Canis lupus familiaris: one gene and its partners. The protein of the gene in region 4 purifies or fractionates together with the protein of the main gene of each other region. This does not show direct contact. Links are inferred from orthologs where the notes say so. Each region holds a gene or a part of one and is shown on either strand. Other genes may lie near its edges. The genes, in order: PPIH, PRPF3, TUT1 and SART3.

Region 1 (5,828 bases), on a different chromosome or scaffold from region 4:
TACATAGCTATTATATCGTGACTTAATGACAAAGAAAATGTAGACAATTATTAAGCATAAAAAAATTAAAATGTATACATGATCTTAAGTCTGCTAAAAATTATATTTGATATACATACATATGTAACAATAAGACTGGCAGCTATAAACTAAAATGCCAAGAATATATTCCTTGAAAAGCAAGACTCCTTGAGAGATGATTTTCTTTTTTGCACTTCTGCAACCAAAAAATAATTATTAAAACAAATACATATTCTTGGTCCAACTCTAGAAGGTCTCAAATCCTACTTCTGCTTCTTGTTCATTCTATTTTTTCTTTCCTAAGAGTGGCACCAAACAACTGTTTCTTGACACTCAGCCTTCTGGCTGACCGACTATATTGTCTGATCCTGGAGCTATCGGCAAGTGACTGGATGTGCCTGGCAATGACCAGTAAGAAGCTGGTCTTGTCCCTGTTAAGACAATACAGCAACACAGGAGCCTATGGGAAGGAAGGAAGGAAGGAAGGAAGGAAGGAAGGAAGGAAGGAAGGAAGGAAGGAAGGAAGGAAGGAAGGAAGGAAAGGAGGAAGGAAGGAAGGAAGGAGAAAGAGAGAGAGAGAGAAAGAAAGAAACAAAGAAAGAAAGAAAGAGAAAAAGGATGAAAAGGAAGAAAAGAGGAAGAAAGGGCAGAGAATAGATTTTTAGCCCTTCTTACCAGGTACCACAAAGTATACAGTTGCCCAGGCCCTACTACCATCAGTGGAAGCCAGGGGTTGCAAACTTGCCCTCCAGGGGCAAGTGACATAAGTAAGGGAAGCAGGTGGTAGTGACTGAGGTGAAATGGCAAGGACAGACCCTGATTAAAGGAACAGTTATTTGATTCTAAACCATTGCTGCTACATGAGAAACACAGGCCAAGTGCACACCTGTTTTCCATTCTTTAAAGAGAAAACAAAACTCTGGAATTTTCTGGTGAAATGTCCCAGTTTTACAACATCACACACATGAAACAACGTGTATCTAAAAGTCTGGTTCAGCCTAAAATCTGCCACTTTGTAACCTTTCCTAGACAGGAAGGAAGTCTTTAAAAATTCCTCAAAGTTTAACTAAATAAATATACATAAGAAGGAGAAAGACATCTCCCAAGACTCAAGAAAATAGCAACATGACTAACCAAATGATATTAATAAGACCACAGACATGCACACAAGTGGTTGGTTAAGAACAAAAGTAGATTTAAGAAGAGATATGGTTTATTCAGCACCTTCCAGAGTCAGAGGAGGGCGAAGAGGCTTGGTATGAGAGACACATACAGTCTAGTCACAAGAAAGTCCATTAATCGCAGCGAAGAGCCATTCTACTGGGCCCCGCTAGTAAATAGAGGAAACATCCTTCCAGAATGATCTACCTCTGTTGCTCTGATTCTTTGCCCACTAAATCGGTTTCTGATGAAAAACTCAGCTTTCCAGGCATGTGCAAATAGGACATAAGCATTTAGCTCACTGAAAGAGAACTTACTGCCATTTAGAAAACAAAACAATTGCATCTGATTTCTACCCAAGTTTCATGTGACTGACTAGTTTGCATCTCTCATGGATCATCTATAGGCATGCTGGGAAAGTTAGCTTCTGGCCCTAAAAGGCTGATTTGGAAGTCAGTGACTCAATCAGGGTGCTGATGTCTGTCACCTAATGGTATAAAGAGTGGAAGCCAGCAACTCTAAAGGACATTCCTGTCACCCCTCTTCCTCATCAAACTTGGTTATTGTTTCAAGCCTCAGGACTGGACTCCGTAGCAAAAAAAATAGCAGCAACAGCAGTAATAAAAACCAATATTCCTACAGGTCTTTATTAGCAAAGAAATAATACTTACATTAACAAAATCCCCACCCTGGATCATGAAATCTTTTATGACCCTGAAACAGAGAATAAAGCATCCTGAGAGAAGGTTCTGTCATTTAGAAAAACATTGACGTACTCATTATACTTTAGATTAACACTGATTTAAAAATAAAACGTTTTTTAAACTTTGGTGTTTTGTTTTTTTTTTAAAGACTTTATTTATTTATTCATGAGACAGAGGGAGAGAGGTGGGGGGGCAGAGACACAGGCAGAGGGAGAAGCAGGCTCCATGCAGGGAGCCTGAGGTGGGACTCGATCCGGGGTCTCCAGGGTCACGCCCTGGGCTGAAGGCGGCGCTAAACCGCTGAGCCACGCGGGCTGCCTCCTTTTTAAAGAATGTTCTGCTCTAAAAAAAAAAAAAAAAATGTTCTGCTCTTACTGGCTTTAGCTAATCAGAATCCATCCCTGGGGGTCTGGGGATGGGGGGAGAGGATGCTGAGAACACTGTTAATTGTAACCTTGCACCTACTGTTAATACCTTGGCATTTCTGCTGAATTCAGTTGGCAAAGTTCTGGTGCTAAACCGCTGAGCCACCCAGGGATCCCTTGGTTTTTAATAAGCCTTCAAATCTATTGTTGAGTTCACAAAAAACATTCCTTCTCAAGATCTAGGAATTATCCTATGGTTTTAGTTCCCTTTAAAGAAATGAATCTTACTTTCTAAAGAAAGTAAGAAATTACAGGGCAGCCCGGGTGGCTCAGTGGTTTCGTGCCTGCCTTCGGCCCAGGGTGTGATCCTGGAGACCCCGGATCAAGTCCCGCGTCCGGCTCTCTGCATGGAGCCTGCTTCTCCCTCTGCCTGTGTCTCTCATGAATAAATAAATAAAATCTTAAAAAAAAAAAAAAGTAAGAAATTACTTTTTTAGAAAGTAATTCTAAAATCCTGCAGGATGGTTTGCCAAGCCTTACCTGTGGAAGGTGCTCCCTTTGTATCCTATCGGAACCCCATCTTTTCTATAACCAAAAAGAAAGAGACTTGGAATGACGACAAGTAATGACAGGTCTTCCCAGCTTCCCACACACTCGAGCCAAGAGACTCTCTAAAGGTGGTGGGGAGGAGAGAGATAAAGGAGGCAAATGAACTGAAGACAGACCCTTGGGGTATTAACCTTCTACTACCGGCACCAGCAATCATTCAAGGCCTACGGGCGTGGTTCCCCAAAACCCCACTGCGGCCCCGGGGCACCCTTCAGGAGCGAGCAGACGAGTCAACCACGTCTGAGAGACTGACCTGAATTCTCCAGTGCAGAACTGCCTGAAAGGGAAAAGAGGGGATGCTTCAGTCTCGGTGACCCCACAGCGGGGGGCGCTCCTGGCGCAGAGGGGCGGGGAGGGGAGCGCGGCCTGAGCCCCCCGCGGGCCCGCCGGCCTCGACACCCAGAATTACGATGAACTGAGATGGGAAGGGTAAAAACGGGGACAATTCGGAGCTCCGATCTCAAGGGCGGGGAGCGGGCCGCCACGCAGGCCCGGTCCGGCTCCCGGTTCCGATGAGCATCCCCTTACCTAAAATTCTCGGCCGTCTTCGGCACAACGTCTGCAAAGAGCTCGATCTTCATGCGGCCGACCTCCTGCAGGCGGCGGGACACGGTCAGAAGGCCTCAGCGAGCAGGGATCCGGGGGGGCGGCCCGGTCCCCCCCGCCCCCCGGCGGGGCGCTGGGATGCGCGAGACGACTCCTCTCCCTCCCGAGCCCCCCGCCCCGCAGGTCGGTAGGTCCCGGTCCAGCTTCGCCTTCTGGCTTCCCGAGTCCGCTATCCCCGGGTGCGGGAGACCCTCCCGGCCGGGCCTGGAACCTCACCTGGCCGCCGATGCTGACATCAAAGAACACCACGGGATTGACGGGGCTTGAATTTGCCACCGCCATGGCTCCGACCCGGAAGCAGTAGCCGCAGGCACCGGTTCCGGCGAACCCGAGCCCCGATTTCCGGGGCTTCTACTCGCCGGCGCAGGCGCAGGCAGAGCCACCCGAGGCCAGGCCCCGCCCCCCGGAAGTCCCGCCCCGCTGCGGAGCGCTCCCGGCCTCCGGCGCCGAAACTGGGCGTCGCGGAAGTGGGCGGGGCCAAGGCCTCCGAGCCGACGTACACGGCGCGTCTTTCCCCCTCCGCTCAGTGTGCGCCGCGGCGGCGCGGGAGGCGGTGGGTCTTAGGTGCTGGACCCTGAGCGCTCGGGTTAAGCCGGAACCGGAGTTCTGGTTCTGCTCGCGAGCTGCCCCTCTTGTCACCTACAGTTCATTCCTGCTGGAGCTTTTTGTTTTTTTCCCCCTTTTAAAGATTTTCTTATTTAATCACGAGAAAGAGAGAGGCAGAGACACAGGCAGAGGGAGAAGCAGGCTCCATGCAGGGAGCCCCACGTGGGACTCGACCCCGGGTCTCCAGGGTCACACCCTGGACCGAAGGCAGGTGCTCAACCGCTGAGCCACCTGCCCCCAGCTAGAGCTTTTAAAATGAACCTGTTTATAGATCATTCCTGGCCTCCCATCCTTAGCTCTAGTGCCTACTATTGAGTAGCCCATAGTGAGGATCCAATAAATAGATTCAATGAATTGAGTGAAAAAAGGTGACCTTGGGCAAGGCTTAGAGTCACAGCCTGTATCTGATATCATAGCTATTGTGTCCTATATCCTTTGATCATCCTTTTTGGCCAGTTGTCTGCGGAAGCAGGGGTTACATGTAAAAACTCAATGTCTCAACTTAATGGTGTCTTTTTTATTTTTAGTTACTTTTCCTTTCCCCTTGGTATCCTTCTCTATCTCCAACTGAAGAGGGAGAAGAAAGAGTCCGAGGAGAGTAGGAGGGAGAGGAGCAGGATGGGAAGAAAGAACAGCAGGAGTCACCCTTCAGTATAGTTTATACCAACTATTCTAAAATAATTTTTTTTTAATTGGTAATATCCAATGTTGATGAGGTTGTGGAAAAACCAGTGCTAGTGAAAATCAGTGATGATGCCTAGCATTTGTTAAGCAGCTACTAAGTTCTAAATACACATTTCATTTACTTTGGTCCTCACAACTCTATGGGACAGGAATGACTACTGTTCCCATTTATGGATCAAGAAATTGAGGCTTAGAGAGGTTGACCATAGGGGCACCAGTGGCTCAGTCGATTAAACATCTGACTGCATCTCAACTCAGGTCTTGATCTTAGGGTGGTGTGTTCAAGCCCCACATTGGGCTCCATGCTGGGTGTGGAGCCTACTTAATAAAAAGAAAAGACAAGAAAAAAAGTCTGACTATAGAAACATTATGTTGACACAAGTTTTTCTTTTTCTTTTTTTTTTAAAGCAACACTACAAGTGATATACCAAAACTGTGTAACATTTGTGTCTTCTGGCCCATAACTGCCAATCTTTTCTGGAGTAACTCGAGAGAAAAGAAGAGTTATATTCGCAAAGACTTTCACCACAGCATAATCTCAAATAGTGAAAAAGCAGAAACAACTTGAATGCAAACAAGATAATTTATAGAACATCAACGTGATAGAATATCATGTGGCTACTGAAAGAATAATTATGAAGACTGCTAAAACACAGGAAAATGTTTTATGGTGTATATATATGTTTTTTTAAAGATCTTATTTATTTATTTATTTATTTATTTATTTATTTATTCATGATAGACATAGAGAGAGAGAGGCAGAGACACAGGAGGAGGGAGAAGCAGACTCCATGCCTGCAGCCTGACTTGGGACCCGATCCCAGGACCGTAGGATGGCGCCCTGGGCCAAAGGCAGGCACTAAACCGCTGAGCCACCCAGGGATCCCCTGTTTTATGGTATATTAAGCTAAAAATCAGACTGTGAAAATGAACCTATAACAACCACTTAAAAAATATATGCATTTGAATAAGAACCAAAAAGGAATATATGAAAATAGTTGTGTTAAGAATACCGGATTAGAGGAGATTTTTCTCTTTAAAGTATTTGCTTTAATATGATTATGTTGTTTTT
Region 2 (5,062 bases), on a different chromosome or scaffold from region 4:
ATCACCTACCTCCCAGACTAGTACACATTTGTTGGTTTTCTTCACAGCTTCCTCATCAGATTCCTCATCATCTGGAAAAGACAATATAGCTAAATCTTGCTCTAGACTTACACTAGAGACCAAGGTTTAGGTTCTAAACAAAGAGTATTCAAGGCTACCCCAATTCTTTTAAATGTTCCTTTGCCATATATCAGAATCAAATGTCTTGTATTATCTTTATTTCCCCCAAATTAGACTGAAAGCTTCAAACTCAACATTTACTGAGCACTACAATATATCAAGAGCTGCATCAGGTACTGGGAATAAGGAGATAAATAAAACACAAGCAATTAACAAGTTTTTATTGTTAATAAAAAGTTGTCCTAAGCACTTTGAGAGAGCAAGGCTTCAGATGCCAACATGACAGCATCCCTTATCAAGGACTTTCTAATCTAATGAAGGACAGATAAACCAAATGAAAATATCTTAGAAACCTTGCAAAGCAAAAGAAAATATAGATCAGTTTAAAACTGTCCTTTAAAAAAAATAAAAAATAAAAAAAAAATAAAACTGTCCTTTAAGTAGGGCACAAAAATAAAGACAAAAAACATAAGAGGGTCTGCAAAGTTAGGTAAAATTAAGAAAAGTAAGGTAAGCACATATTGCTAAAGCAGGGCTTCAAAGAAGGTAAGAATGAATATTGATAGAAGAATAACAGGAGGGTATCAAATATATACATGTATTTTATATTTTTTATTTTATATCTATATAAAGTTGGGCTAAAGAAAAGTGTGTGTGTATATATATATATATCTGTATATATATTTTTTGCCTTTAAAAAACTTTTAAAAACTTCTTTAAAAATAGTATAATATAGACAATGCACATATAAATGCATAGCCTGCTAAATTTCACAAACTAAATATATGCCCATAACCTGTGTAAATATAGGCAGACAGTGAAACCAGCTAATAGAAAGGCCTTAAAGGTCGGGCAGAATAACTAACCCTCACACATATCATCACATAATAAAAACTCTATGAATGTCTACTATGTTCATAGTCCAAACAGGTCTTTCTAAAATTCCTCCACAATATGTAGTGTGATCAAGTTTCAGTGGGAGGGAATAGATGAATGGACAGAGTACCATCCCCACCTCCCACTTAATCCCCTCTAACCCCCATTCACCATCTCCCTTTGTGTTAGATGTCTGTTCATCCCACTTTATCCGATGCAGCATAAGACGCTTAAATTTCTTCTGGGCCTTGGGGCCTGGAAACAGAGAAGGAGAATTTTGCCAGAATGGTGGAAGATGATGAAGTAGAAAGAACCTCTGAGCTCATTTGTTACTCAGACCCTAAGGTGGTAGTTGCAATCTTGGAAACCACATTTTAGGTTCTTCTACTCCAATAAACACAGAAACAGAAACCCAGGACGTTATACCTAGGCGTGGCTCTAAAACACTTATCTTCTCCTCCTTTTCCCCACCATTCTATTCACTTCAAGGCCTAGGGTTGTGTGGGGACAGTCTCCCTCAGTTTTTTCGGACTCACCCCCTTCCACTACTACCACGTTGACATCCTTGTGCAGTACAACCACCCCTGTCAGGTACAGTTGCCCAGCATTGGCCTCAATCTTGAACTTCTTGGCTGGATTGCTCAAATTTCGAACTCTGGAGAAGGGAAAGTTTAATTATGGCTTTTGTTTTAGCATCAGTAGCTGCCTGAATGGAATGGCAAATAAACAGATGTTCCACAATGGTTTTCTCTCTACAAACAACAGCCTCTGGAGTAAGCACGTACACTAACGCTTGAAAGAAAGGCAGAATCAGTAAGTCTTGAAGTAACTCCACTGTCTTATACTTCAAAGACCAGTATTGTACACACACACAACAAATAGCAGGTAATCAAAATTTACTCTAAGAAAGAAGAGGTATTACCACTATCCAAAAGTACTTGCAAGCTAATTGTTCTTGACAGTGTAATGATCAACAAATTCTTTGCCTTCTAGATGCTTATAATGTCAAGTTACCAGAATGCTATGCATGGAAAATTTCTAGAATTTTCTAGAATTACAAAAAATTGTTAGTAGCAATTATCTACAGTAAGCAGTAAGGGATCAGAGAGCAAGAAGGGGACTTTTTTCAGTAAAGGCCTTCTATACTGTTATATTAAAAAAATTCTTAAATATTCATTACTTTGTAATAATGTATCACTTTCATAATAAAGAACTAGTTATTAAACAAGAGCACTTTTAAAAAATGGAAGGTACACACGTACTCAACATAAAAATAAAATGAAGACATTAAATCAACAAGAAGGTAGAAAATATTTACAATGTGCAAAATGTATTTTGTAGTGGGAATAAAAGGATTACTACATTACATGAGAATAAGAATATAGTTACTGAAGAAAGAAACTTTTGATGCTTCCTGAAGAAATAGATTATATTTTATTTCACATAGAGAATGATCCTTAGTTCATATGTTGGTCTCACCAGGTATATTCATTCATTCATTCATTCATTCATTCATTCATTCATTCATTCTTCAGAACTAGTACTGGTTCACTGAGAAGCTCTCAGAGATAGAACAGTAAGTCTTTAACCCTCCCTCATTATAAAAGATTTACTAGCTCCTGATTCATGTTGAGGTCACAGAAGAGAGTAGGGACTGATGTTAGACCACAGTGATTCTGCCTCAAGCACTTGGAAAAGTTTTTGGTATTTCTAAGGCAAAGGCTGGCCCAGTTTGGACACCTACCTATATACAGATATGTGTACCCCCTGTGAAATGTCTTCTTTAAGCTTTTTAATTTTCTTGACCTTTCTCTGTTCTGCTGTAAGTTTTCGGGCAGCGTTGGCCTCTTCATGCGCTCTGTCGTGACAGGAAGGACATCCACAAGTGAGAAAGGCATTGAAGATCAGAGGCAAAGCTGAGGGAAAGAGAGAGCAACAGAGGACTCTCCCCTCCCTCCAAATATGGATCCCCTCAGAAGAGTCTGGGAAAGGTACTTGCCCGGGTTTCCACCCAATCCCATGGCACTTACTTCTGTCTTTTTGCCATCTGAGCTCTGACATGGGCTTCTACCTTCGTGGGGTCTTGAACAGCTTCTGTTCCTAATACTCGCATTAAATTTGAAATTCTCACTGCAAGTGGAGAGAGGATAGAAAACAATGAATTCTCCAGCTGGGATAACTTGTCACCTTTTCTCAATCAATTCAACTATTTACCTATTTCAAATCTCTGCTCCAAGTTTATTTCCTCCAAAAACCCCTACACCTTGAAAAGCCCATCCAATTAACTCAGTATTTGTGGAAGGTCACACAATCTATACAGTTGGTATACATTTATTTACACTGCTTGAAAATTTATGATAGATAAGGAACTTTAATTTCGTTGGTATTTTTCACTCTGATCACAGCATTTTTTTTTTTAATAAAGATTTTTATTTATTTATGAGAGACTCACAGAGAGAGAGGCAGAGACACAGGCAGAGGGAGAAGCAGGCTCCATGCAGGGAGCCAGATGTGGGACTTGATCCCAGGTCTCCAGCCCATTAGAGGATCAGGCAGGCCCTGGGCTGAAGGCAGCGCTAAACCACTGAGCCACCTGGGCTGCCCCTGATCACAGCATTTAATAAAAGATCCTACACATAACAGTGCTCACTCAAATATTACTGAGTGATAATGGAAACTACAGGAGTGAAGGTTTCTTTCAACAGTATTTTCATTTTTCAAATATTAAGAGTTATGTACAAAACACTCTATGCAAACACTGTAACTACTATCTTCATGAATTTCAAGACCATTACTCTTCCAGGAAGATCAGTGTTATATATTTTTACACTTTACAAATAAACCTTAAATGACCTCTACACCGAATATGTTGACCTGTCTTAACAAGATTGTAGAAAATTTAGAATAGGAAGAAAAAAATCAATGAATGATTCAGAGAAAACAAAAAGCACCCAAATACAGAGAGATATAAAAGTTCCTCTAGAAATACAGGGATAAACAAATGTACCACCCTTTCTTCTTTGCCTCCAAGATACGTACCTTTGGGTTCTGGAGGAGGCATCAGGCCCAGCCTGACTTTCTCTTGTAGTTCCTTCTGTGCTTCCCTCCTTGTTTGCCTTCGAAGTTTCTTCTGTTCCTTCTTGGTAAGATACACCCCCAGAGTAACTGGTGTGTCATTGTCAACTGCCAGGTAGAGAAATGAAAGTATAAAAGCAAGAAGCCCATTAGAGGAAGGTAGGTGACAATCAATCACTCACATTAAAAGAAATTTGCTATTTTTAAGTTGGATAATGGTAGTATGTTACATTTTTTAAAAGCATCCTTATCTTTCATAAGTGTTCTAACTTGTTTTTTCTTGAAGCAGGTGAACGCTTTAATCAACTGAAAAGTAGCAAATACAGAAAACAAAATTAGAGCTGCTCTAGTTGCTCTGCATGAGTATTTGGGTTAGGTGGGGCCAAGATGAAATTTATAATTTTGGAGTTACAGGAAAATCCTCTGGACTCCCAAAGCAGTTTATTTAATTTTCTTAAATTTTATTTGTTATTATTATTTTTTAAAAGTTTATTTAAGTAATCTCTACACTCAAAATGGGGCTTGAACTCGCAACCCTGAGATCAAGAGTCTCATGCTCTTTTGATTTGAGGCAGCCAGGTGTGTTCTCAATCTTTTAGTAATATTTTTTAAAGATTTGTTTATTTAGGGATGTGGCTCAGTGGCTCAGTGGTTAAGCTTCTGCCTTCAGCTCAGAGCGTGATCCTCGAGTCCTGGGATCGAGTCCCACATCGGGCTCCCCGTGTGGAGCCTGCTTCTCTCTCTGCCTGTGTCTCTGCCTCTTTCTGTGTCTCACATGAATAAATAAATAAAATCTTAAAAAAAATTGTTAATTTATTTTATAGAGAAAGATCCTGCACACATGCTAGTAGGGGGAGGGGTAGAGGGAGAGAATCTCAAGCAGACTCCCCATTGAGCCTGTAGGGCTCCCCTCAATCTCATGATTCTGAGATCATGACCTGAGGTGAAATCAAGAATTAGACACTCAACTGAGTTGCCCAGGCACCACTCA
Region 3 (5,581 bases), on a different chromosome or scaffold from region 4:
GGATGGGGAGGGGAAGGGTAAATTGACAGGAGGTGGTGGTAGGGGGAGGGGGGCGTGCACTGCCATGACTGCCATGTCTATCCTTTTTTTTTTTTTTTTCCTAATGGGGGTTTCTCTTCCTGTCCGGTGTCCGGACTTTCCTAATTGGAGTTTGAGGCCCCTAAGCTGGCATCAACCCCAACCCATGTTCTCTATTCCTTCCCTCCCTGTGCCCCCTCCGCCTTTTGTACGCCAATTCTCAGAAATAAAGATCTTTTGTCCATTTTTTTAACCTCGGATTCTGTAATTGGTTCTTATAGTAACAAATAAAAAGCTGTTTTCTTCAGCTTCTCCTGGCTCAGCTGTTCTCTGCCATGGGTGTGTGTGTGGGTGTGTGTGTGGGGGGAGGACAGTGACTTAAATTGGAAAAATAAAGGACAATGGGTGATAAAGGAGATACAGATGGGGCTTGCCTGGGAACAGCTTTAGGAGCTAGGCAGCCTGTTCCGGCTAGCTTTCTCGTGGGACCCAAACTGCTCCCCAGCTCCCTGTGGTGCTGGAACCCAGGCTCCCTCTTGGCACACAGATTGAGAACGGTTGGAATGGATGGACCCTGGATGGTTGGTGGCTTCCACAGGAAGGGAGGTGGGAAGATGCTTTTTCTTCTATTTTCCAACCCTTAACCTCTCTTTTAGGAAATTCTGGGAGTTGCTAGAGATCAGGGCAAGATGTAGCCTACTTGGGGGGCAGGGTGCTGCACTCTTACCACCCAGCCCTGTGGTATGTTTGCAGATTGCTGCTTCAGGGATTCCCAAGACCAGCCTCAGCACCTGCCTTGATATTGAGGGCACGCTCTAGAGCTGTCTCCCGCCTTTTTGGGTTTGGGAAACAGAAGTCTGAGCAGGGTCCAACAGGAGGAGCACCCTTACAGAGTGAACAAGAATTAAGCCTATTATGAGTTCCTTCCACGCACTTCCTTGAAGATAGGGGACAGCCTCAGCAATCAGCACTTCCTTAAGGTCACAGACCTTGAGCTGTCTGCCTCAGGCCCAGTGTGCTTTCCACAGTCTAGAGCTGCGGACTGATAACCACAGCAGGAGCTGCTCAGACCCTTGAGAGTCCTCTCCAGCTCCCTTCTCGGCCCCTGGGGCCTCCCCAGCGACTTCGCTCTCCCCACTCTGAGCTTCCACCTCGACAGCATCAGGAACTGCCCGCTACACCAGTCTGGGGAGAGGGGGAAAGTAGCATTTTCTCCCTCCAAGGTCTTGGCTCAGTTGCCACCAGCGCAGGTTCTGCCGCATGCCTTGAAGTGGGCCGGTGGCTCCGGCTCCTCATGGCAACACTCCACGCAGTCAACTAATGCAGGAGGGAAACGTGACTCACCGGGACCGCAGCGATCTGGCCGTGGTTGAGCGGAGTCCGCGAGCTGCCCGGTGGGGACAGAGCTCCCCGACCAGGGCGGGGAAATGGTCGCATGACACCCATTGAAGGGAGGACCGAGGGCAGAGGGAGAAGCCGCAGCCCTAGGGAACTCGGGAGTCCGGGGACAGCCTTGAGCTTCGTGAAGTCGGCCCATCCTCCCCCTTTATTCGCCAGGTGAATTGGGTTCGGGGGTGGAGCGCCGCGGTCCCTAGCGCCCCTTGAAGGAGGGTAAACCGCGTACTTCGAAGCACCCAGCAGGCAACCACCAGCCTGCGAGAAGCAGCCCCGGCGCCGGCTTTTGTAGTCGCCCTCATAAATATTCATGAGGCTTTGGGCCAATCACCGCCGGAATGACTCAGAGTTCACCAATCGACTTGCAGCATGCAGATAAGTATCAAAGACTTGGCGGCTGGGACGTCCGGCTGGCTCAGCGGTTTAGCGCCGCCTTCAGCCCAGGGCCTGATCCTACAGACCCGGAATCGAGTCCCACATCGGGCTCCCTGCATGGAGCCTGCTTCTCCCTCTGCCTGTCTCTCTGCCTTGTGCTCTCTCTCTCTCTCTGCGTCTCTCATGAATAAATAAATAAATAAATAAATAAATAAATAAATAAATAAATAAATAAATAAATAAATAAATAAATAAATAAATAATAAATAAATAAATAAATAAATAAATAAATCTTAAAAAAAAAAAACAAAAAAGAAAAGACTTGCGGCTTTCTCCGAAGCTGGTAGAAGAAACAACGCGGAGTGGAAACGGAACCCTGAGTCGAAGGAGCTGTTTCCCAAGCCGGGGAGCGTGTTTGCGCGACTGGTCCGTGCTACGTCACTTCCTATCCGCCTGGCGGAAGTTGCTTCCAAGCGCTCTGCGATTTGTAGGCGTGAGTTCCGGTGGGGGCCGCAGTGGTGGTGTGCGGTCGGGAGAGTCGCGATGGCGGCGGTGGATGCGGATGTCCAGTCGCTGCCTCGTGGGGGCTTCCGCTGTTGCCTCTGCCACGTTACTACAGCCAACCGTAAGCGGTGGTTGTGAGTTTTCGTCTTTGGGTCCTAGCGAGGGTTAGAGGTGGAGGGCATAGTCCTTGGCAGGTCGGTTGGTAGGGCCGCTCGCCTCCGTTTTCGCTCCGCCTAGACCAACGGGCTGCAGAGTGGCGGAAGTCCTGCCGCTTCTCCCTCTCCTTCCCAGCATCCGAAATCTCCACAACGAACGTTTCATTCTTATTCCCTCTTTAACCGTCGCCTGTTGGACGCCACCTTTGTGTCTGGTACTCTTCTAGGCTCTCGGGTGGGGTGAGGGGATTCAGAGGTGGAGACCTGGAGAGCCGTAGGATCACAGAGAAAGTCGCGGTTAACTCAGGGAAGCCCTACAGAGGAGCGACCCAAAGGCAGAGACGGGCGGAGTAGCATGGCGTGCATGACTAGGAAGAAGGTGGGTTTGGCAAAGTAGACAGGGTTCTTGTAGGACAGCACGCAGGACTCCATGAAACCTCAGATTCCACTTTTGAAGTCTGGAGTCGTGATCTTCCCTAAACAGGAGCTTCTATCCTTGTGTGTGTGTGTGTGTGTGTGTGTGTGTGTGTGTCACTATCACCGTTTGCCCCATAGGGCAAGCCAAAAATCCAAGATAGTCTTTTCTGGCCCCACATATTCATCGGTGGCAACAAACAGCTGACCCAGAATTTAACAAAAATAATAATTGCTAACTTTTCCCATGTTCTATATGTGTATGCCCTTGTGGTTAGTTGTATCCATATCTTCGTTTTGTGGCCCACGAAATTGATGCACAGAGAAGTTAAGTGACTGGCCCAAGATCTCACACAGTTTGCCAGAACTGGGATTTATTATTATTATTATTATTATTTCATTTATTTATGATAGTCACACAGAGAGAGAGAGAGAGAGGCAGAGACATAGGCAGAGGGAGAAGCAGGCTCCATGCACCGGGAGCCCGACGTGGGACTCGATCCCGGGTCTCCAGGATCATACCCTGGGCCAAAGGCAGGCGCTAAACCGCTGCGCCACTCAGGGATCCCAGAACTGGGATTTAAACTTGAGCAGTGTGACCTCAGACCATGCACTTGCAATCTCTCTACCATACCTAGAGACCATCCGTGACGTCTAGGGTCCTGCTTTATTTAGTTCTTCTGTAATATGATCTGGATAAGTTTCCTGTTATTTATTTATTTATTTTTAAAAATAATTTTCGGGTGTTGCTTTACCTAGCACTTAGAGAGGGTTTTCTTTTGTTTTGTTTTTTTAAAGATTTTTATTTATTTCTCCATGATAGTCACACAGAGAGAGACAGAGAGAAGCAGGCTCCATGCAGGGAGCCCGACGTGGGATTTGATCCCGGGTCTCCAGGATCGCACCCCCGGGCCAAAGGCAGGCGCCAAACCGCTGCGCCACCCAGGGATCCCAAGGGTTTAAGAAAAATTTGTAGCTAGTTGTCCTGGGAACTACTTAGAGAGAATACCTTATGTGGACAAATGGACAAGAGAGGGAGGTGAAAAGAGGCAGGACTTGGTTTATTCAAAGGCCACCCTTTCTGTAGCTTGGAAGGATTGGTAAGATTTAGGTATGCATTTAGGTAAAGTCAAGGGGTGGGTACATTTGGATAGAGTGATTTGGATACTTTTGTTTCACAATTATCTCTGTAGGACCCAGCCTAGACGCCCACTTGGGAGGCCGGAAACACCGACACCTAGTAGAACTACGAGCTGCCCGAAAAGCCCAGGGACTTCGAAGTGTGTTTGTCAGTGGCTTTCCCCGGGATGTGGATTCTGCTCAGCTTACTCAGTACTTCCAGGCATTTGGACCTGTGGCGAGTGTCGTCATGGACAAGGACAAGGTAGAGTGAATGGCTTTTGGGGTAAAGAATGACTCAGGTGTGCCACGTACAAGAAGAAATGAGAGAGAAACCAGGAGCCCTGTTTCAGCTGGTGCCTTATGTGGCTTGTCCTTGATGGACACCACAGTACTTGGGCTAATTCAGCTTTGTGAGCCTTTGCCATCCCCTGCCCTGCCCCAAACTCCCACCTCCCCGGCTCCTGCTTGGATTTGTCAGTTTGCCAGAGTTAGTCATTGGGGGACTTTGGATCACTAATTTATTGTCTTCGTTTTATTTGCTAAAACTCCACTAAATGTGGAGTCTGCTTAAGATTCTCTCTCTTCCCCCGCTCTCTCAAATAAATAAATCTTTAAAAAAATACAGTCTACACACAGTGCCCAGTACTAAGTCAACAGTTAATATTTGGCAAATAAAACGAAATAAACCTTCTTTATTCCTTTGAAAAAAAGTTCAGTTTTACTGTTGTGTTGTATCATCATATTATAGTTCTCAGATTGTGCTCTGGTTATGTAAGCATGGCTTTGGTGATCGCAAATGGCTTTGGCAGCCCATATCTTCTCTTAGGATGGGCTGGGTGTGTTTTTCTTAGAGATCACATTTGGACAACTGACCCACAGAAGCTTTATTTTTTTTAAATTTTATTATTTATTTATTCATGAGCGACACACAGAGAAAGGCGGAGACACAGGCAGAGGGAAAAGCAGGCTCCTAGCTGGGAGCCCAATGTGGGACTCGATCCCGGGACCAGGATCACGCCCTGAGCCAAAGGCAGATGCTCAACTGCTGAGCCATCTAGGTGTCCCACTACAGAAGTTTTAACACAAGAGGTTTAATTGTTTCCTTTATTTTTTTTAAGAGTTTTTTTTATTAATTCATGAAAGAGAGAGAGAGAGAGAGAGAGGGGCAGACACATAGGCAGAGGGAGAAGCAGGCTCCCTGTGGGGAGCCCGATGTGGGACTCAATCCCAGGACCCCAGGACCCCAGGAACATGGCTTGAGACAAAGGCAGACGCTCAACTGCTGAGCCACCCAGGCATTCCTAATTGTTTTCTTTAACAAGAAGTCCAGACCTGGGCAGTCTGGGACTTGACTTTTCTCCTGCTCTGTCATTATTGGGCATGTGGTTCTCACTTCCTAGTTGTGATAATACTGCTTGCACATCTTCAGGTGAGAAAAAGGGGCAGGCTGAAGGACAGAGTATAAAAGGCTAATGCCAGCTGAGTCTGACTGTTTTCCCCTGCTTTTCTTTACTTTCCAGGAAAAGATCTTTTCCCAGAGCCCACATGTGTGGGGGGGTGGTCTCTTCTGTTTATGTATCCTTGCATCAGTGACACGC
Region 4 (5,062 bases):
AGACCACAGGCATATAATTATTAATGGTACAATGAATACCTCCTGCGCAGTTTGAAATCACTGATGAAATCACTGAGTACCTGCTCAGGAAAAACAGTCTATATTGAGCATCTTCAATGTGCTAAACATAATTAAAACCTAAGAAACAGGGGATCCCTGGGTGGCTCAGTGGTTTAGCGCTGCCTTCAGCCCAGGGCGTGCTCCTGGAGTCCCAGGATCGAGTCCCACGTCAGGCTCCCGGCATGGAGCCTGCTTCTCCCTCTGTCTGTGTCTCTGCACCCCCCACTCTCTCTATGTCTATCATGAATAAATAAATAAAATATTTAAAAAAAAAAAAAAAAAAAACCTAAGAAACAGGCCAAAGTGGCTTCCGAACATTCAAAGAACAAGTGACACAATTTCCATGATCCACGGCTCCTGAAATTAACACAAGAACCCCAAGGGCCCCAAATCAAAACTGCTTCAAGATGGGGCATCTGGGTGGCTCAGCAGTTGAGCGTCTGCCTTTGGCCCAGGGTGTGATCCTGGGGTCCCGGGAGAGAGTCCCGCATCGGGCTCCTTGCGTGGAGCCTGCTTCTCCCTCTGCCTATGTTCTCTGTCTCTCTCTTTCGTGAATAAATAAAATCTTTAAAAAGCAAAAAAACAAAAAAAGAGAAAGATCTAATCTAAATGGTACAGTCATCAGACTTCCTGACCACCGGCAGCCCTGAATCCGTTGGGGGAAAGGCAGGCATCCTGACATCAACACTGAAAGTGAGGTCCGAAGGCAGGGTGACCGCAAACCATCAAGGACCAAAAGGACCGAAAAGCATTACAGTCTGTGGAAGAACAAAAGATCCTTGGAGAAAAAGAACTGGTGCTGTTAATGACTCTGAGACCTTCACAAAGAGGTGACTGGATCATCCCAACACATGGGAACATCACCTTCAGAACGGTCAAGAGGTTCTAAGCAGCCACACGGGCAGATCAGAGGAGAGACGAAGTATAGCTTCTAACAGCACATATGGTGTAATTTCACATTCACAAAACACCTGTAATTTTCAGTATCTGGATTATATAAACTCAAAAATTGATCAATTCTTTTGGGTAGTAAATTTGAAAAATTCTCTTCCTCAGGGCAGTCTATCTTCCAAGTTCCAGGGATTCTCACAAGGTGAAATTCCCCCAGTGGGGAGTGGGGAGAACCAGATATGGAAGAAGGATGTTTAATTTAAAAGGAGAAAACATTGGCGGGGGGGGCGCCTGGGTGGCTCAGTTGGTTGGGCATCTGACTCTTGATTTCAGCTCAGGTCATGATCTCAGGATTGGGCTCCGTGCTCAGCATGGAGTTTACTTGTCCCTCTCCCTCTGCTCTTCCCCTCCCAACTCCCCCAGCTTGCATGCACACCCTCTCAAATAAATAAAACCTTTAAAAAATAAATAAATAAAAGGAGTGCTTTTTAAAAAATATTTTTAAAAAACATTTTGCCCACAGCATTCTCTGATGTGTCCTAAATGTACATACAGAGAATAAAGAACCGGGGACGCCTGGGTGGCTCAGCAGCTGAGCATCTGCCTTTGGCCCAGGGTGTGATCCCAGGATGCAGGATCGAGTCCCACATCAGGATCCTTGCAGGTAGCTTGCTTCTCCCTCAATGTCTCTGCCTCTCTCTCCTCTGTCACTCACAAATAAATAAAATCTTAAAAAAAAAAAAAGAGAGAGAGAGAGAGAGAATAGAGAATCATGCTACCAACAGGGGAGGGTAAAGAAACTTAAAGGGAGAGGGGTCTACCCTCCACCTGTGCTAGCAAAACATCAACTCAAGCAGACAACACAGACATCTGTGGGGATAGAGGGTTATGTATCTCAACTACAGTGGTGGTTACTAGAATCTCCATGTTTGATAAAATCTCAGAGGTAGATACACACATTGTACACTAAGATTAATTCCCTGGTTTTGATTTTGTGCAATAGTTACAAGATATTGGGAAAAGCAGGATGAAGTAAGTATAGAACCTTTCTGCACTATTTTCCCGTAAATCTGTAATTATTTTAAAATAAAAAGGTTTTAATAACTTTTTAATATCAAAAAAACAAACAAACAAACAAAAAACAAAAACAGTTTTCTGTCCAAAACTTCTAAAAACCCATTCAACATGTAAAAGGCAACCTTTAGTCATCTGGAAATACTATGTAAGTTCTCCCCGCCAGAAAGATACTAGGTGTGAATTTATTCACTCCTTTACTACAAAGGTTTCTTCTATGTATTTTAAAACCAAATATTCTCAAATGAAAACCACAGAAAAATAAGTAAACTCAAATCTTTTTAACTGCCAGACTAACCCCCTCCTTTCTGAATTGGGGGCACACCTCACAGTACAACCCAGGGCAGCAGAGATGGATGCATTCACAGACACTTAGAAAAAGTGAATGGGGAACTTACAAATGTAATCCTTCACAGCTTTCTCAAAGAGTTCGTACACGTGCTCTCTGTCCAGGCCGTCCAGAGCCATGCTGATCTCATCATGCAGCCACTCCAGCCAGAGCTCTGCAAGACAACAGCACCTCCTGCATCACCATCTCCTTCCCCGAAGGGCAGGATGAAAGCAGGGACTTTACTCTGAGTCACGAGCACACAAGCATTTTACCCACCATATACAACTTGCTACGGTTCACAGAAATTCAATTCTTAAAACCTGTACCAAGCACATAGAAGGTTTATGCTTCCAATAAGATCAAACAACTAAAATCATAATACCCTACACCTGTTGGGCATTTTATTATTTTTGTGAAATACTTACACATATATATTTCTCATTCAATCTTTGTTAAATTCCTGTAGATGATAGTCATAATAATGAATACTAATGGCATTTATCAAAGCATTTACGATATTCTAGAGTATTTGTTACATGTTGTACATAGGATATCTCATCCAATCCATGTACTATAAGGCAGAAGATATTGTTAGCCCATTTTACTGCTGGGAAAACTGAGTCTTACAATGTTTACATAATTTGCTTAAGGTCATACAGCTAGTAAAATAATAAAACCAGGAATGAATCTGGGCAATCTGATTTCATACTCAGCAGTTATGCTTTTGGGCAGAGAGAGGGGGACAGAGCTGGATCTGGGACCAGCATTCTCCAAAGCCTCCCTAAAAGATCAATTATAATAAACATTCCTGAACACTCTTCTACAAGATGCATGGTGTAATTATGTTTCAAATAAGCAAGTAAGTATAAATAACCTAAATGCCCAAATACTGTGTAACAAACAAGGTATAAAACATTTGCATTAAAAATTGTTTATAAAACCTTAACTAGGGGTGCCTGTGTGACTTAGCTAACCATCTGCCTTCATCTCTGGTCATGATCCCAGGGTCCTGGGATCGAGCCCCATGTCAGGCTCCCTGCTCAGTGGGCAGCCTGCCTCTCCTTCTCCCTCTGCCTGCTGCTCCCCTTGCTTGTTCTCTCTCTCTCTCTCTCTCTCTCTCTCTGAAGATCTTAAAAAAAAAAAAAGGAAAACAACAGTTTAATTATAATACAATTATGTGGTGCTGAGAGAATGGATTAAATATATAAACACTGGAATGGAAAATAGACACGGGAAAAGTTTAATCACATAAAAAGTTTTCATCATGACATAGGATTAAAAAAAACAACAACAGAATCCAAAATATGAATCAAGATTATATGATCACAACTAAGTTTTGCAAAAAAAACTAGAGGATGAAAAACTAGAAATCATGGACAATGGATGATGGGTTTTCTTCTTTGCATTCTATTTATATGTTCCAGATTTCTGTAAGTAACACGTCCCAGTTTCAGCTCTGAAAACAGAATATATACTCTTCAGTTCTCTGTTTATTAAAGCAGCCTCGCTGCTGATATGTTACCTTCAGTCAAAGGAAAGATCTCACTCATCTTCTGGCGAGCCATCCTCACTTTGGTAAGCTCCCCTTCCAGGCGGAGCAGCCGGATCAAATCCACATGGCAGTTGTAGTCATAGACGTTAATAGATAGCTAAAAGGAAAAGAACACCAGGTGAAATTTAAAATGCCACCATCAAAATAACCTAGCACCTTTTAACCACCGGGAACAATGCACATGTCTGCAACAAACAAATGTGCTATCTGGGAGAGCCACTGAGACAGTGATACAACATTTACCTCCAGGAAGAGAAAGAAAATCTCTTTTTCTCTAATAAATGCATATCTCTTCCAATCTGTTCTAGCTGGAGGAGAACGTAGTTAGGTTTCTTTGAAATACAGGAAACATCCCGATGAAACAAACACACACACAGTGTGACCTTAGGTTATTAACTTTGCCAAGCCTCTATTTCCTCATCTGTAAAATGGGAATACCACTAGGGTCTAGTCCATAAGGTTCTTGTGAGGGTTTCAAAAGGTGATTAATAACATGCTTTAGCACCTGCCAGCTCTATAAGAGCTTTCTTCTTTTACTAAACAAACACACACAAAAGTGAAAATCCCTACTGGGAGAAACAAGAATGGCAGTACCTGTTGAAGCTGAGTGATAGGTATACAGATTTATAGATTTGAAACTTTTCAAACTAAAAGTTAAAACAAGTTAAAATAACTGTTTAAAAAGCTATCAGACGTCTGAAACAACAGAAAACAAAGAATCTGTCACTAGCAGACTTTCTCTTAAAGACAGAGAAAGGAAGAAAAAAGAATGATAAAAGACATCATGTAGCATCAGGAAGGAAGAACTGAAAGAGCACCAAATACAGACAAGTATCCTGGAATGGTCCTTCTCATGAGTTTTCTAAGTTTTATGTGGTAACTGACACAAAAGTTTTAAGACCATCTGATACTCAAAACAATAATATTTACAAGTGGGGATGGTAAAGGGACTTAAATGGAACTAAGTTTCCACACTTCACTCAGTGGTAGAACACAGATACCATGTAAGTCAAATACACCATTAATACCCAAGGCAACCACTAAGAAACTATACAAAGCGCTACACCAAAACTCATTATAAATAAATCAAGATGAAATCCTAAAAAATGTTCAAGTAACTCGTAGGAAGGCAAAGAAAGAGAAACAGAACATTT

What was found.
Region 1: the proteins of SART3 (region 4) and PPIH purify together in Homo sapiens (affinity purification with mass spectrometry; 3 studies listed by BioGRID and IntAct, with this or other methods). This does not show direct contact. The link is inferred for Canis lupus familiaris from reciprocal best matches to the Homo sapiens genes SART3 and PPIH.
Region 2: the proteins of SART3 (region 4) and PRPF3 purify together in Homo sapiens (affinity purification with mass spectrometry; 5 studies listed by BioGRID and IntAct, counting the BioPlex papers as one, with this or other methods). This does not show direct contact. The link is inferred for Canis lupus familiaris from reciprocal best matches to the Homo sapiens genes SART3 and PRPF3.
Region 3: the proteins of SART3 (region 4) and TUT1 purify together in Homo sapiens (co-immunoprecipitation; 4 studies listed by BioGRID and IntAct, counting the BioPlex papers as one, with this or other methods). This does not show direct contact. The link is inferred for Canis lupus familiaris from reciprocal best matches to the Homo sapiens genes SART3 and TUT1.

Annotation. Positions count from the first base shown.
Region 1 is NC_049236.1:753,174-759,001, forward strand, and holds the start of PPIH (peptidyl-prolyl cis-trans isomerase H), read right to left. Parts: upstream 3,838-5,828; 5' UTR 3,749-3,837; coding exon 3,683-3,748; intron 3,454-3,682; coding exon 3,389-3,453; intron 3,138-3,388; coding exon 3,114-3,137; intron 2,837-3,113; coding exon 2,792-2,836; intron 1,897-2,791; coding exon 1,854-1,896; intron 1-1,853. UniProt on the Homo sapiens protein: PPIase that catalyzes the cis-trans isomerization of proline imidic peptide bonds in oligopeptides and may therefore assist protein folding. Participates in pre-mRNA splicing.
Region 2 is NC_049238.1:60,226,156-60,231,217, reverse strand, and holds part of PRPF3 (U4/U6 small nuclear ribonucleoprotein Prp3), read right to left. Parts: intron 4,180-5,062; coding exon 4,036-4,179; intron 3,127-4,035; coding exon 3,027-3,126; intron 2,855-3,026; coding exon 2,741-2,854; intron 1,652-2,740; coding exon 1,533-1,651; intron 1,252-1,532; coding exon 1,168-1,251; intron 72-1,167; coding exon 10-71; intron 1-9. UniProt on the Homo sapiens protein: Plays a role in pre-mRNA splicing as component of the U4/U6-U5 tri-snRNP complex that is involved in spliceosome assembly, and as component of the precatalytic spliceosome (spliceosome B complex).
Region 3 is NC_049239.1:54,565,146-54,570,726, forward strand, and holds the start of TUT1 (speckle targeted PIP5K1A-regulated poly(A) polymerase), read left to right. Parts: upstream 1-2,255; 5' UTR 2,256-2,331; coding exon 2,332-2,413; intron 2,414-2,674; exon of another isoform or gene 2,675-2,826; intron 2,827-4,054; coding exon 4,055-4,245; intron 4,246-5,581. UniProt on the Homo sapiens protein: Poly(A) polymerase that creates the 3'-poly(A) tail of specific pre-mRNAs. Localizes to nuclear speckles together with PIP5K1A and mediates polyadenylation of a select set of mRNAs, such as HMOX1.
Region 4 is NC_049247.1:18,673,286-18,678,347, reverse strand, and holds part of SART3 (squamous cell carcinoma antigen recognized by T-cells 3), read right to left. Parts: intron 4,006-5,062; coding exon 3,879-4,005; intron 2,529-3,878; coding exon 2,424-2,528; intron 1-2,423. UniProt on the Homo sapiens protein: U6 snRNP-binding protein that functions as a recycling factor of the splicing machinery. Promotes the initial reassembly of U4 and U6 snRNPs following their ejection from the spliceosome during its maturation.